Linked DNA regions of Drosophila melanogaster. The protein of the gene in region 2 interacts with the protein of the main gene of each other region in a pairwise test. Each region holds a gene or a part of one and is shown on either strand. Other genes may lie near its edges.

Region 1 (7,284 bases), on a different chromosome or scaffold from region 2:
GATGTAGGAATGCCTTTTTCCACGAGATCAAGCGAAAAAGGGTTTCTTACTAAAAACTGCGTTCTCCTCTTTGGTTTTTTTTTAAAGTATTTCCATTTTAGTTTATAACTGGGTGAATCTTTAAAGGCTTGCCCTTCAAGAAACCTGTAAGTGCAAATTTTAAAGACGAACATCTATCTATTTGCGATAAATACTTTGCAGTAACCAGGATTATTTTATTATTTGGTGTCATATTATATGTTGGGATTTTATCTACAACCTTTTTGGAAGGTAATCCATAGTTTCATTTGATTTATAAGCTTTTGTTCTGTGAACTAGTCTCAAAATTTGAGATCTGTTTTTTGCAATTCAATAAAATAAATGAGGAAGGGCATCCTCAAAGGCAAACCCTTTATGAAACCGATTAGTGCAAGTTCTAAGGATGAACACCAATCTTTACGGCAAAGAAGTTGCAATAATTTGGTATTCATAACTCATTTGGAAGCAGAAAATCAATTTTCGTAGTGAGAAAATTAAGAGAATAGCATTGAAATTTATACAGAGTAAATAAATGAAACCAAAGGAGAATCCATCAAATACTAAATACGAGAAGGAAATAATAAAGTTTGTCCATTGTAGGCTTCACGAAAACTAAACCATACTATATAGCCATGAGATCCCTATGATACATTTTCAACGGATTTCCGCGAAATTCCGGCGGAAGTGGAGCTGCTAGCATGGCTGATATACATAAATCTTCCTAATACTTTAGACGGAAAGTCCATAAACATTTTGATTTGTGTCCCCAATGCGATTCGAACACAAACCGAGGTACAGTCAACACAAAACATTGCAAGATATTAATAAACAGAAACACTAGCCAACATATAAAAACCAGTTACAAACACATCATTTTGTGTAGAAAACAAAAGCAAAAAACAAAGATATATATATACATGAGAAATTGCATAAATTATATAACATTATATTTATTTAGTTAAATATTATTAAGAATTATACGGAAAGATAATAAGATAAATACAGAGAGAAGCGAGAGCATATGTAGATAAACCTAACTAATTTTAATTTATAAAATAATAACAAACACTAGCCGTTGGTATCGTAATAGTGAAAAAATAAGAGAGTAATTAAATGGCGAAAAAGAAGGAAATTTAAAATCAATACCCCATTAACTAGTCACAGTACTTAAGGTTCCACAACTAAACCGATTACGATGGATAATTTCGATTTTGTTCTTCATCCGCAACGATTTTCCAAGGAAGTACCCTAAATATTGCAACTCAAGCACATCCAGAACAAAAAACAAAAAACAAAGAAAAACCTAATAAAACACAAGATCACGCAATCTTTATAAACTGCAAAATTATTGAAATAATAAAAATCGTTAAATCACCTTTCAGCGTGAATCATATCATTGAGCTTTGCTTCACAAGAAGACGGGAAGACATTCTAAACCAAAAATAAAAACTAAAAACTAAAAACCTAAACTAAAACAAAACAAAATGCAAACACAACGTACATACATATATTTCAAATTATTTAACGCAATTGAAATATAATAACGAGAAGTATTTATAATAACAACGTTTCCAAACAAGTTACTGAAACTTAAAAAATTTACGAGAACTAAGATTAAGAAATCTACAGAAAGAACACACACCAAAAAAAAGAAGCTTTTGTCTGCGCTGGCTGAGTCGAATATTCTATAACCATAAATATAATACCTAAATATTATATATATCTATATAATTTCCTTTCGTTTTTATATCACAGCAACACGGATAGCAACAAAATGGGAAACTTATTTATTATGCAAGAGAAACATAACAGAAAAAGAAAACACTGCAAAGATAATAGTATAAAATCCATAAGCAGATCAAAGATGCGAAAAACAAGAAAAGAAAAGAAAATAAAGTGAACTTGTTAATTTTTAGCATTTAAGTCTGTAAAGCTCCGCTTGTAGATGAAAAATCAATAAATAAACTAAATAAAATGGTAAATTCAATAAATGGAGACAAAAAAGCTGTAAGCTTTCACAACAAAAAACCAAACGATACTTTTTGGTAGAAGACGGGGGATTTTTTTTCAAGATTACTCTTTATGTAATATTCAAGATCTCGATGAATTATCTTAGCTTTATTTGAGATATTCCCAAATCTATTTCTTGGATGGTTCTATTACTATTCTTCTATTCTATGAACTATCATAGATATAGATAGGCACACTCTTAAGGTATCATCATAGTGTTATTATAGATATTCCCGAATCTGTTACTCGAATTCTAGTTGATTTAAAGATAATGCGTCTATAATAATAATAATAGTATTGCTTACTAGCATTAAGTTTTTTTAAAGAACTTACAGCATCTACTGAATCCGAAACAAAATCATCATATAAAAATTTACACATAAAACTTAAGTTTATTAACTTGAAATAAGGTCAAATCGGAATCCTTCTTAGGCAAGCGCACTGGGAAAGACGGCATTCTTGGCAATGGGCTGATTGGACCTGCGCACGATCCTGATGTAACCCTCCTCGCCCCACGTGTCGCCGAAGGAGTTCAGGCAGCGCCAGTAGTCCAGATTGGAGTCCACGTCGTGATCGTAGCCCACGACCACCAGGAACTGTGAGCTCTTTGGATTGGTCAGGGCACGCGTCTCCTGGACATAGACGCCACTGGAGTACTGCATGAATCCAAAGGTAGCCGGATTGTACTCGACTATGACGGGGAATCCATTCGATACGTAACGCATTACGGCGGCATCATCGTTGTCGGCCACCGTGGAATAGCCGGCCAACTTCACGCCCACTGACACAGAGGATGGGGGCTGGCACATACCCGGCGTTTTCAGGCTATTGTTATTCGGATAGTCCACCTCCGGATAGAGATACGCATCTGTCAGCTGGGTGAGATAGTTGAGGGCAGCCAGGGGCGTCTGGGTGCTGCATCCGGTGCCCATGCCCGCACAGTCCAGCAGCTGCTGGGCGGACAAGGACGAGGGCAGAGGATTGGCTGTCTGCACGGCATTCATGATCTCCACGGCCTTGGCGGTGGCATAGGCCCAACTACTGCTGCAGTTCACGCCCTGATCCTCCACCGCCACGGTGAGTCCGAAATCCGTGATAATGTCAAAGCTGGCAGATGCCGCTTGACTGGCCGGTGGATCACTGGCCGCCGAGGTCACCGTATTCACGGCTTTGGGCAGCAGGGCTGCGAACTGGATGAGCCGGATGTCCGAGAACTGATTCACTGCCTCGCGGTAGGTGGTGCGATTCCTATCGGCCTGGGCATTGTGCTGCGCCACCTGGTTGCGGTTGTAGATGAAGTAGTAGTTGGCGAAGTTGCGAGCCGAAGTTGAGGCATAGGTCTTGTTGAAATTGTCCTGTAAATGGAAAGATTTGAATTCCATTACTCAATACAATCCTTTTCAATGCCATAAGATACAAGATATAATTTCTAATTAAATCCCATCCAGACTTTGTTTTCTTGATGACTCACATACCTCGTAAGTTTGAAAGTCCACTAGATCCTGGCCATGATTAAAGGCCCATCCACTGTCGATGGTTAGTAGAAGGCAGCAAAGTAGCAACTTGAACATGACGAAAACCCAAATCCGCACCAACTAATGCCGCCAGAACCATGGAACGATCTTTTATAGGCACCGGCAAACTCTCCTTCTGATTGCAAACGCAAATAGAAGTTTACCAAAGCGACTTACTTTCGCAAGAAAAGTGCAAATACTCGTAGATTTCTACGAGGCCTTGAATTCGCACTTGGCCAGCAGCACTCAAACGTACTATCCGTAGTATTCATATTCCGGGTTGGGTCTCCTCGATAAGCCGACGTTGGTAGGAAAAGTCGGGGTGCGCTTTGTTTGCCCAATAAACTTGTCAAATGCCCCGTTTCGTATCGTTGCGATTCGGCGGTGGGTTCTCGTATCTCTGTTAATTCGAAATCCCCACTGGCCCAGTTCAGAAAAAAACACCCAAGCCCATATGCCCATGGAGCATCGTAAACGCCCCTCTAATGCCAACTTATCGTTTAGTCTTCAGGTTTTGTCTTCAGCGCAGGCATGATTAATCACAGTCATACTTTGTGGCGCCCATAAAAGTTGCAACAGCGTTGATAGATAGATACGTAGATGGAAAGATACATAGACAGATAGATAGATAGGCCCGTTGGAAGACTTGGCCAAATTGCTGTAAACCAAGTGCTAAGTGAGTTGTTTGGTAATTTCCATTGCGGTAGTCTAGCATATACTACAGGTAGTATATATTCGAAGTAGTAATGAGGGATCATCTTGAAATTTTGCAAATATGTAGGTAAGTCCATAAGGGATTTCAGCAGTCAATGAACTTTTTAGTAGACGCAACAACAAATTCAGATTCCACGAATCTGTTAATTGAAATGCAAATAAATTGGCCACTAATCAATCTCTTCATGGTTCAATTTCAATTTATAGTTATTGAAAGTCGAGACCATTATTCATCCGTCTGCATCTTTATCATTCTGTAATTGTATTATTTACATAAAAATCAAAGTGTTATTTATTTACAAGGGATATAATAGTACAAACTACTTAGAGACGCTTTAAAAACTTTCCTAAAACTTTGCTTGCTGCATTGAAATTTGTAATCCTATAGGCGCTACAACTGTGACTTCGATCTCATCAATTATTAACTATTTAAAAACATGTTTGACTATTTTCTCTTTTGTTTCAAATGAGTTAATATGCGTTGTTATAGCCACCAACACATTAGGCAATCGACAATTACTAAGCATGCATATAATGGAGACAGCTATAGACCCATAAACCAGATAGCCCGTCGAAATGAAGATGAATATGCTCTTGTCGGTATTCCAAAAGTTTCAAATTGGTGGCCCATCCAGTTTTGGCCATATGTCCCACGGTCCAGCTCCAGACTCTATAAAACCAAGGTGTGCGGGTCGAGCGCCGCTTATAATCTCGCCGGTCTTCGAGTCTTCAGCATCTTCGAATAGTTTTGTGATTTGTGAACGCGGAAGGTGTTTTGAACATATCATTCCCAGATATCCATAAAAGGTGATTAAGTCGATCTTTTCAACATATTGTGTCGTGTGTGTTGTTATTTTTCGATTCATAATGGTCCGTCGAAGACAAGAGAACTGCAATTGCTTACATTCGACTCGAAATTTGATTTTAAACAGGGGAATCCATCGCCTTTCACCGGGCACAGCATGTGATCAGTATTTTATGGCAACGAAAGTGAAATCTTAGCCTGCGGTTGCCTAATCTAGATTTGATTTTGATTTATTTGGGCCCTCGATGGAGCCAATTTGGGAGCTGAGGAAATAAAAGGAGAGACGAAGCCGCGAAATCATTCATACATTTCGAAATTCATCCGAATCGAATGCTTGCACTAATGTAATTATGCTAAGCATATGCAAATTAGCTCATTCACCCAGTAATTATTCACGTCTCATCGGTGATCGAATTCGTAAAACAGACCGGAAATACGAACAGCGAATGCTCTGCTAGTTTCAAAAGTCTATTTAATTTGGTAAGATCGAATAAAGTTGAGAAATTAAGACAGCGCATGATTAATTACCCATTAACGCGATTGCTGACAGAAGCGGATAGTCAGCGTGATAGAAAAAACCAATAATAATTAGTTTTTTATTCGTTTAATCGATCATTATGTTTTTGATTGTCTTAGAAACAATGTTGATTTCTGCATAGGCGATCATTAAACGGTTTAGTTTCTTCAAAACCAAGCTTGTTAAACAAACAATTTATTAGTTTCTTTGTTTTATTTTGGTTTTGCCAAACATTGTACTTACTCAAATTACTCAAAAAGACATAACATCATTTCTTATGTCAATGAAGACACTCCACTGAATATTTACCAATAAAAAGTATCTACTGGATAAACATTTTAATATCGAATAAACGCATAGATTTTGAGTGTGGCCTGTTTTCAAATTGTGCAGATTTTCTAGGAAGCAACGTTGCTTTTAATATGTCCATAAATAAATATTTATAGCGGCTCCACTTATAGGAAACTTCACGATCTGCACGGCAGGTTGGTTCGATTGGAGGTGAATGAACGGGTCGAGTTGCGGCCAAGTGATTAACGTTGACAGATAGATGTGGCAAGAAAAGGGGCATGAAAAGGGGTCGCGGGATGCGATGAGATGGGATGGGATGGTGTAACTATGTATTGGCCAAGTGGTTACCTAACGCTTTCCACTCGCTCTGCTGTCCACCGTTCCAGATGCGGATGTGCTCAACGATGTGGCTGCAGATGACGCTGGGACTGGCCCTGCTGGGTGCTGTGTCATTGCAGCAACTGCAGTCGTTTCCCAAGCTCTGCGATGTGCAAAACTTCGACGACTTCCTCCGGCAGACGGGCAAGGTGTACTCGGATGAGGAGCGAGTCTATCGCGAGAGCATCTTCGCGGCCAAGATGTCGCTGATCACGCTGAGCAATAAGAACGCCGACAACGGCGTGTCCGGATTCCGGCTGGGCGTCAATACGCTGGCCGACATGACCAGAAAGGAGATAGCCACCTTGCTGGGCTCCAAAATCTCCGAATTTGGCGAGTAAGTAGCACCATCTTACGCATATCTAGAGCTCGGGGGAAGTCCCCTTTTTGGCCATAAACGAATTATCACCCAGCTTATAACTTTCAAACGGGTTTCGGTATCGTCGTCCATATGATTTGTAACGTTACGTAGGTGCCGATTGGTTTCCCGGTTATGCTAATCAAGAAATCAGAATTGATCAAATATTCCGACCATAGGTTTGTGGTTTCCCGAAAACTATAACCAAATGGGTGGAAACAAACAAAACCCTTCCATATCGAACTTATTTATTACGACGAAGCTCCATAACAAATGTTTCATAACTTATCGGTTGTTTGTCATACATTTAAGAACATTATGAATAACATTTAAATGTAGTCTGGTTGCCACTTAAGTAAGCTACTAATTTGCTTTAATCTTTGCTTAACGGAATACTAAAATGTTTTACTTACCTTGCAGGAGATATACGAATGGCCATATCAACTTTGTGACTGCCAGGAATCCGGCGAGTGCCAATCTTCCCGAGATGTTCGATTGGCGCGAGAAGGGCGGAGTGACGCCACCGGGATTCCAGGGTGTGGGATGCGGTGCCTGCTGGTCGTTCGCCACCACAGGAGCGCTCGAAGGACATCTATTCCGGCGGACTGGAGTGCTGGCCTCGCTGTCGCAGCAGAATCTGGTGGACTGTGCCGATGACTACGGCAACATGGGCTGTGAC
Region 2 (7,764 bases):
CAATATATTTCTTTTAGCCCACTGTTAAGCAATATTGGGCGCAATGTCTTAGTACTTTGGAATTAAATCCCGATGAATTTCATGTGCTTAACCACGGCGACTTTTGGTCGAGCAATCTGATGAGCAGCTATCTGCCGGACGGAACTCTCGAGAAGCTGATACTAATCGACTTCCAGATTGTCATGTGGGGTAGTCCGGCCATGGACCTGCTTTTCTTTCTCACCCTCTCCCCCACCAACGATTTGCGCATCAAGGAGTTCGACCATTTTGTAAGGATATACTGGGAACGTCTGGTCGAGTGCTTGAAGGTTTTGAAGCTGAAAAAGCCCCTGCCAAAACTTCGTGATCTTCAAAACTCCATGAACAATAAGAACCACTCCTTTTATGGTAGGTTTCTAATGCGATAATTTTCGCTATAGATTTCTTTAACATGCAAATGCAATTCTTCTGCAGCTTTCTTCAGCATCCTGAACCACCTGCCCATTATTCTCTTCCCCACCGACAAGGACAGCAACATACACAACTTATCCGCTAATACGGAGGAAGGAGAAAATTATAGACTACGTTTGCTCTCAAATCCCGCCTTTGGAAACGTTATGAAGGATCTGTACCCCTTCTTGTATAACCGTGGAATACTGAACTTTGAGGACTACGATGTCTGATTTATTGCCCGGCAATAAAATAATAGGAAGTACAACGAAATCTCGTTTATCTGGGGGTATCGCATAAGTGTGCACCTTATCAGTATAATATTGCTGGTCATCGAGGTAATCGTCTGTTACCTCAGATAAAAAATTATCTCCGGAGACGATAACTTTTTGTGATAAGTTGAACATAATGTCGTTTCGGATTTAAATCAGTTGTAATCATGTCGCGCTCCATGAATATCGAAAATCCCAACGAAAGTCTCGTTGTTCCCAAATGGTTGAATAAGTCAAAGTTTGAGTCCTTGATCGCAAAGGATGAACCTGATTTCACCAAGATAGACCAGTTTACAACTGTGGCCGCTGTGCCCCCAGGTGGTAATTTTGCATCAGTCATGCTGCGAGTTTACTTGGATATAGTAATGAAAGGTAGGCTGGCTGATAGAGATCCTATTTATAAGAACCGAGTGGTAAATCCAATTTTGCCCAGATGGATCTCAGAAAAGAAAGTCGTATGTGGTCAAGACTATGCTGGAATCTGATAAAGGTGGCAAGGCGGTGAATGAAATGAGGTACTTCCACAAGGAGCAGCAGATGTACTCCACCTATTTGCCGCAGTTTGAGAAAATCTATCGTGTGGCGGGACATCCCGTGCAGCTGATGCCGAAATGCCTGGAAATTGGGGAGATTGATGGAAATATATATTTCATATTTGAGGATCTTTCGACTCGAAATTTCGTGGCAGCAGATCGAACGAAAGGAGTGAATATGGAGCACATGCGACTCTCTCTTCGTAAATTGGCCGAGCTGCATGCCGCCAGTGTGATATACAAAGAAAGGTATGGACCATATCACGCTGACTTTGATAATGGATTCGCCAGAAAGGACAAAATCGAGCATAGTGTGAGAAGATTCGAAGTAAAAGCTCCTGAATACAAGGCAGCCATGAAAACGTGGGGAATAGATGAGTGCTACCTTAAGAATTTCGTAAGTTTCCTAGTGAAATCATGAATAGCACATTAATAATAACTTTAATTACAGCCCACTACTGAGCAGTACGGCAAGCTCTGTTTGGAGTCCCTCAATGTAGATCCCCAGGACTTTAATGTCCTAACACATGGGGACTTTTCTCCCTCCAACATTCTTTTTAAGTACAATGAAAATGGAGCCCCAAGTGAGGCACTTATACTGGACTTTCAAATTTGCAAATGGGCCAGTCCGACACAGGATCTGCTTATGCTGATAATCCTTTCGGCGCGAAAGGATTCGAGCTATAAAGAATTCGATAATATTGTAAGAATCTACTGGGAATATCTCATCGACTTCTTGAGAGTCTTGAAGTACAAGAAGCCGCTTCCGCAACTGAGGGAACTGCAATCTGCTATCTACAAGAAAAACAACACTTTCTCTGGTAACGAACGAATATACATATTTTTTGTCGTATCTTATACTGAAATTCTATATTTTCAGCATTCTTTGCCGTAATGAATCATTTGCCGGGGGATTTGCTGCCAGTTTGCAAGGAAAATAACCTGCACACGTTTAATTTAGAAGACGAGGTGGGCAAAAGTTTCCGTACCAAGGTGTACACCAATCCCATCTTTGTGGAAGTCGTCAAGGAGCTGTATCCCATTTGCTGCAACCGCGGACTCTTCAACTTCGAAGACTACTAGTGATCGCCAATTTATGCATCTGCCAGTGAAGCTTTCATTCGAACCTATTAAGCAAATTGTGTGCGAATATTGATTCTGGATTTTTCAAGTTTTCCACGGCGAATGTCGGGGCCGCAACGTAATCGAAGGTCGGGGACCATGAAATAGTTTTCCAACTAGTACGCCTGTAAATAGAAATATGATTCCAAAAAATGTTATCTTTCAACAATTAACGCATTGCATTACTTGTTTTAGTATATACATATGTATATATGTGCATATTTTACTCTTGAGATAACAAAAATGTTTGTCTACTTATCACGTACTCACCGTATCTACATCAAAATGCTGATAAAAGCTATTAAGCGATAGTCTAGTAAAATAATCTAGTCTTGAAGGGATAATAATTAATTTTTCACAGTAACATCAAAAAAATTATTAATAATATTAAAAATTATTTGCTTACAGCTTTCAAAGCCAAAATCAAAAAATTTTTCCAAAAATACAATACTTTTGGCAGTTTTACCCCACACTCAATTCCCAAATTGTTTAAGTTCAAATTAACATAAATACGTACTCATGGGTGCACCAACATATGTACGTATGTCAGGTTATCAGGTATTCCCATCACCACACTGCTACCGTTGATAAGCCCGGCGCCCAGTGCACCCAGTGTCTGGCTACTGGGAGAATGGGAAAGCTCTGGCAATTATCACCCACTGCCTTCAGAGAGAGTCTTTTGGCCAACGTGCCCGACGGACGATGCTCAGTGTCCGTACTGTTGACGAACCAGTTAGACGGGCAGTTGGCATTGCTTTTGGGGCGTTGATAAGTGCGCACCTCAAGTCACCCACCTCGACGGATGGTTGTTGTTGTTGTGCGTGCAATGAAATAAAAATAACATCGCGGGTCTGAAATAAGAAAAACACTCTCGATAAGGCAAGGCAACGCAAAACAGTTGCGCTGCACACTTCGGACCGGGCACAACGCCAATTCACAGCCAATCCGTTTAGAGCCAATCGCCGCAGTGAGCTCACTCCGGCGGAATCCCAGCGCCATGCCCGATAACAGCAATAAATTTAGCGCCTCCAGCGATGTCCGCATTCCGGCCTGGATCAATGAGGCCTACTTCAAGCGACTGCTCAAGCGGGAGTTTCGGGAGTTCCGGCGCATCCTCAACCTCTCGATCATTCCAGCCACGCCGCCCGGAGAAACCTATACATCGCTGCTGATGCGCATCGTCATCGACATCGAGTTGAAAGGTGAGAAAAAAGGGCGCAGTTCGGTACACAATCGTTAAGAGCCATTACGCATACGCACTGTTGCCATTTTAAAAAAGCAATAAACAATAGCTATTACCTTATATTTTTTTAAATCAGAAAAACCATAGCCAAATTACAAAAATTAATTCCTATTTAGTAATTAAAACAAATTTGATTCAAATCAACTTGAGTGCTTTCTATATATAATACTATTTATATCAAACAATATAACAACTATTCGATTTATCGATCGTTCGATAGATGGATTCTCACAGCAAAAGTCCTACATAGTAAAGACCATGCTGGACGACGCCCAGGGAAATGGTGGATTCGTGAATACCCTCAACATTTTTCCAAAGGAGAAGATGATGTACGAAACGATTATACCTAATTTGGAACAGCTTTACGAAGAAGCTGGGCTGAGTGTAAAGTTTGCACCAAAGTGCCACCATGCGGAGGATATCAAAGGAAGGATCTGCCTGGTTCAGGAGGATTTGCAAACGAAAAAGTACCGAAATATAAATCGCCTCAAGGGCTTCGACATGGCCCACATGCATCGAGTGCTAGAAAAGCTGGCGGAATTCCATGCAGCAGGTGCCGTTTGGCGTCAGCGAAAAGGACCGTTTCCCGATGATTTTCAGAGGATTTACCTACCCGCCAACTATCAGAAATCGAAATCGTATCAGGCGAGGCTCCAGAGCTATAAAACTGCAATAGCCAGTTGGGGTCTGGCCGATCACGAACAGTATGTGAGTCGCATTGTAAGTTAAACAATCTAATAAATATCTTAACATTCAATAACATCGATTTGATGATGTATTCAAGCCCACGGCCGATCAATTTGTGCAATCCTACGCCAGCTGCTTTAACAACAATCCGCAGGAGTTTAAAGTTCTAAATCACGGTGATTTTTGGTCCAGCAACATAATGCTAAGCTATACTCAAACTGGTGATATCAACCAGGTGCGTTTCGTGGACTTCCAACTGTGCAAGTGGGGTAGTCCGGCTCAGGATCTTTGGGAACTCATCATATGTTCGGCACGGCATAGTATACGAATACAATACTTTGACTACTTCATCAGGATATACCACACACACCTAGTGCGCTGCCTAAAGATCCTAAAATACAGCGAACGAATACCAATGCTAAGGGAGCTGCATATGAGCATGATCAAGTATGGATTTTGGGGTAAGAATTTAACTAGACGATCACTATATATAAATGATACAAAACTCTTTTATCAGGCTACTTTACCACCTTCACGCACCTTGTGTTCATTTTGCTGCCACCGGATACGGAAGCTAGCTTGGTGAAGCTTACGCAGCCGGGAGAGGAAGGAGATCGCTTCCGGTCCAAGGTGTACACAAATCCACTCTACGTCCGCTCTGCGCTCAGCATATTCCCCTTTCTACTTCGGCGTGGTATTCTAGACTTTTGAAGCGGTTCAAGTCATTACTGTTAAAACCGAAATTAAGTATATGAATTTGTATTAAAGACTAAAAATGTATACAAGTAGATCGATATATATATATATTTTACATACTTTATCCCGTTTGGACTGTAACTTCTTTTACATCATAATTTAATATGTTTTCAACTATCAAAACAAATATAGTAAACAGCATAGTTTCAGCAGATAAACAAATCTATTTGTTTATTGAAATAATTTTCTGAAGTTGATAACTTGTAGAAAATGTGCTAATGCATTTCTGAAGTTCTGAAGAAAATCCTCTAACTGGCATAGAATATGTATAAATCTATAGAATATAGAATATATACCTATAGAATAAATACATTAGATAAATGCCAAGTCATTAAAGCTTATCACAACAGTTGCCTGTATTCAGATCACATTTTATTTGTTCCCCAAGGAAAACAGTAAAACATCACTAACAAGTACGTTAAATATATATGTATCTCTGTTTTTCCACTTTTATTTGTTGTTATCGGGCACAAGTTCCACACTGCTCAATAAACCGGTTTCATTGCCGCCATAGATTCCACATGTACATATAAATAATATTATATATACATAAATCAGCTGATAAGCCAGCGCAAAGCTAACAACAGAGAGAGCTTTACAGAAGCTCTATCTTTCTCCCAGCCCGTCACATGTTTTGCCCCACATTCTTGATTCGATAGCCCCCAGCGTAAGTTGCTACTCAGCTCTCTGTTATTTTTATTCGGTGCGGTCAGGTGACTTGAGAAAAAAAGAAGAAAATACAATGGGAACCGGCAGCAAGAACTACCAGGCTCCGGAATGGCTCACCGCCGAATTCCTGCAGGATGTGCTGAAGGAACACTTCAAGGAAGAGCAGCTGGCAGTCACCGAGTTGATAGTAAAGAGCGCCCAAGTGGGCGACCAGGCGGCGGGATTTGCCAGCGAAATGCATCGGGCCAGTTTCAATCTTCAGAGGGGCACTGCACCCAAAGGCAAGTTTTCAGTGATTGTGAAGGATCATCCCAAGGGACAAACAGGTGCTGTGGCCCACAGGAGTAAGCTCTTCAAGCGTGAGATTCTGGCTTACAAGGAGGTGCTTCCACGTATTCAAGCCTTGCTCCAATCCATTGGAGATCAAACGAAAATTGCACCTACGTGCTACTACACCACGGAATCGCCGGAGCCATTCCTGATTCTGGAGGACATGCAGCTGTCCGGCTTCGAGAACTTCGAACGCGGTCGACTGCTGAATCTGGACTACGTACTGCCCACCATCGAGAAGGTCGCCAAGCTGCACGCTTGCAGCGCCCTTATCGCCCAGGATAGCCCCGAGGTGCTGGAGTTCTTCGACGAGGCGCCCATTTCGAGGAATCCGGACCGTCGTGACTTCCTCACCTTCTTCCCCGTCAACATTCGCTGCGTGGCCGAGGAAGTGGCTCACTGGAAGGGCTACGAGGAGATCACCGAGAAGATGTTCAACCTGGCCGAGAATGTCCTGCAAAGAGCGCTGACCATGTTTGAGAGCACAGGCAAGGATTTCCGGGTCTTCAACCTCACCGATCTGTGGATCAACAATCTCTTGTTCCACATCAACAACGAGACCAAGGAGCCAGACGATGTGGTCACAGTATGTCATTCATAGACGAGAATCCATTCGAAATCCACGTTAATTTATCTCTTCGTTCACTAGTTGGACTTTCAGTTGGCCTATGTGGGATCCCCAACCATTGATCTCAATTACTTCCTCTACGGATCCTTGAACGAGAATGTTCGTAAGGTCCACTATAAGTACATTGTGAGGGAATACCAGAGAGTGCTTCAGCAGACCCTGGAGAAGCTAAACTACCAGGGACACATTCCAACTCTTAAAGAAATCCACATCGAGTTGATCAAGACCAGTCTTATGGGTATGATCATCATCACCATTTATCTATATTGGTTTTCATAATGACTCCACCATTATAGGTGTCATTGGCGCCACTTGCCTGACTCCACTGATCTTCAGGGAGGGAGCTGGTTTCGAAAACCTTGAGGATCTGAACTCACGCACTGAGAGCGGTGATCGTTTCCGCCGGGAAAATGTTGAAAACCCCAAGTATCGGGCTTTCCTTCAGCGAACTATTAAAGAATTCGAGCTATCTGGATTCTTGGATGAATAGTGACAAAGGGCTAATGAAGATTGCGTTACATTCGATCAAAAGTATTCGGGCTTCCACATACAGTAAGCTTTCCAGACAAATATTCCATGAGTATTTTACACCCAAATTAAAAAAAAAGAAAAATTTAATTTGATGATACGTTTTGTTATTTAATTTAAAGCAAAAGGAAACCCTAAAAAATTACATGGTTCATATAGTTGCGATCAATTAGCCATGCAATATATACACATTTTAACTGATAGCTTTAAAAATAGATCAAAGATCGTTAAAGTATCCCATTTCCTCATATTTACCCAAAAGCTTTTTGACATCTTGAACATAAGGGTCATAGAGGTATGATTTTTGTCTGATTTCCGGATCTTGAATTAACTCGTGTATTTTAAACGTATTCGCTTTAACGGCCACAATCATTGGCGAAAAAGTGGTTAAAAGGAAGAAGTCTGTAAAAATATTGAAGTGGTTAGGCTTATTGAAACTAGGCGATAAATAAAATAGGCACTTACCATAAAACTTGTGTCGGTGTATTTGCTTCCACAGACCATCATTGGTCGGCATCTTGCCCTTGTAGCCAACTTTTTTTAACGTGTCCTCCAAAACCGAAAAAT

Evidence for each region. Proteins that work in one complex are often made in the same cells at the same time.
Region 1: the proteins of CG31102 (region 2) and CG6337 interact in a two-hybrid assay, tested with the Drosophila melanogaster proteins (one large-scale study listed by BioGRID).

What each region holds. Positions count from the first base shown.
Region 1 is NT_033778.4:13,831,464-13,838,747, forward strand, and holds CG6337 (uncharacterized protein), read right to left. Parts: upstream 3,634-7,284; 5' UTR 3,600-3,633; coding exon 3,504-3,599; intron 3,384-3,503; coding exon 2,457-3,383; 3' UTR 2,112-2,456; downstream 1-2,111. Other genes in the region: CtsL2 (cathepsin L2), read left to right, coding at 6,256-6,584, 7,026-7,284.
Region 2 is NT_033777.3:25,290,891-25,298,654, reverse strand, and holds CG31102 (uncharacterized protein), read left to right. Parts: upstream 1-3,060; 5' UTR 3,061-3,353; coding exon 3,354-3,558; intron 3,559-3,819; coding exon 3,820-4,319; intron 4,320-4,383; coding exon 4,384-4,747; intron 4,748-4,803; coding exon 4,804-4,997; 3' UTR 4,998-5,197; downstream 5,198-7,764. Other genes in the region: CG31288 (uncharacterized protein), read left to right, coding at 18-387, 454-662; CG31097 (uncharacterized protein), read left to right, coding at 881-1,073, 1,135-1,631, 1,686-2,055, 2,115-2,317; CG31098 (uncharacterized protein), read left to right, coding at 5,785-6,627, 6,691-6,907, 6,966-7,159; CG11893 (uncharacterized protein), read right to left, coding at 7,415-7,599, 7,663-7,764.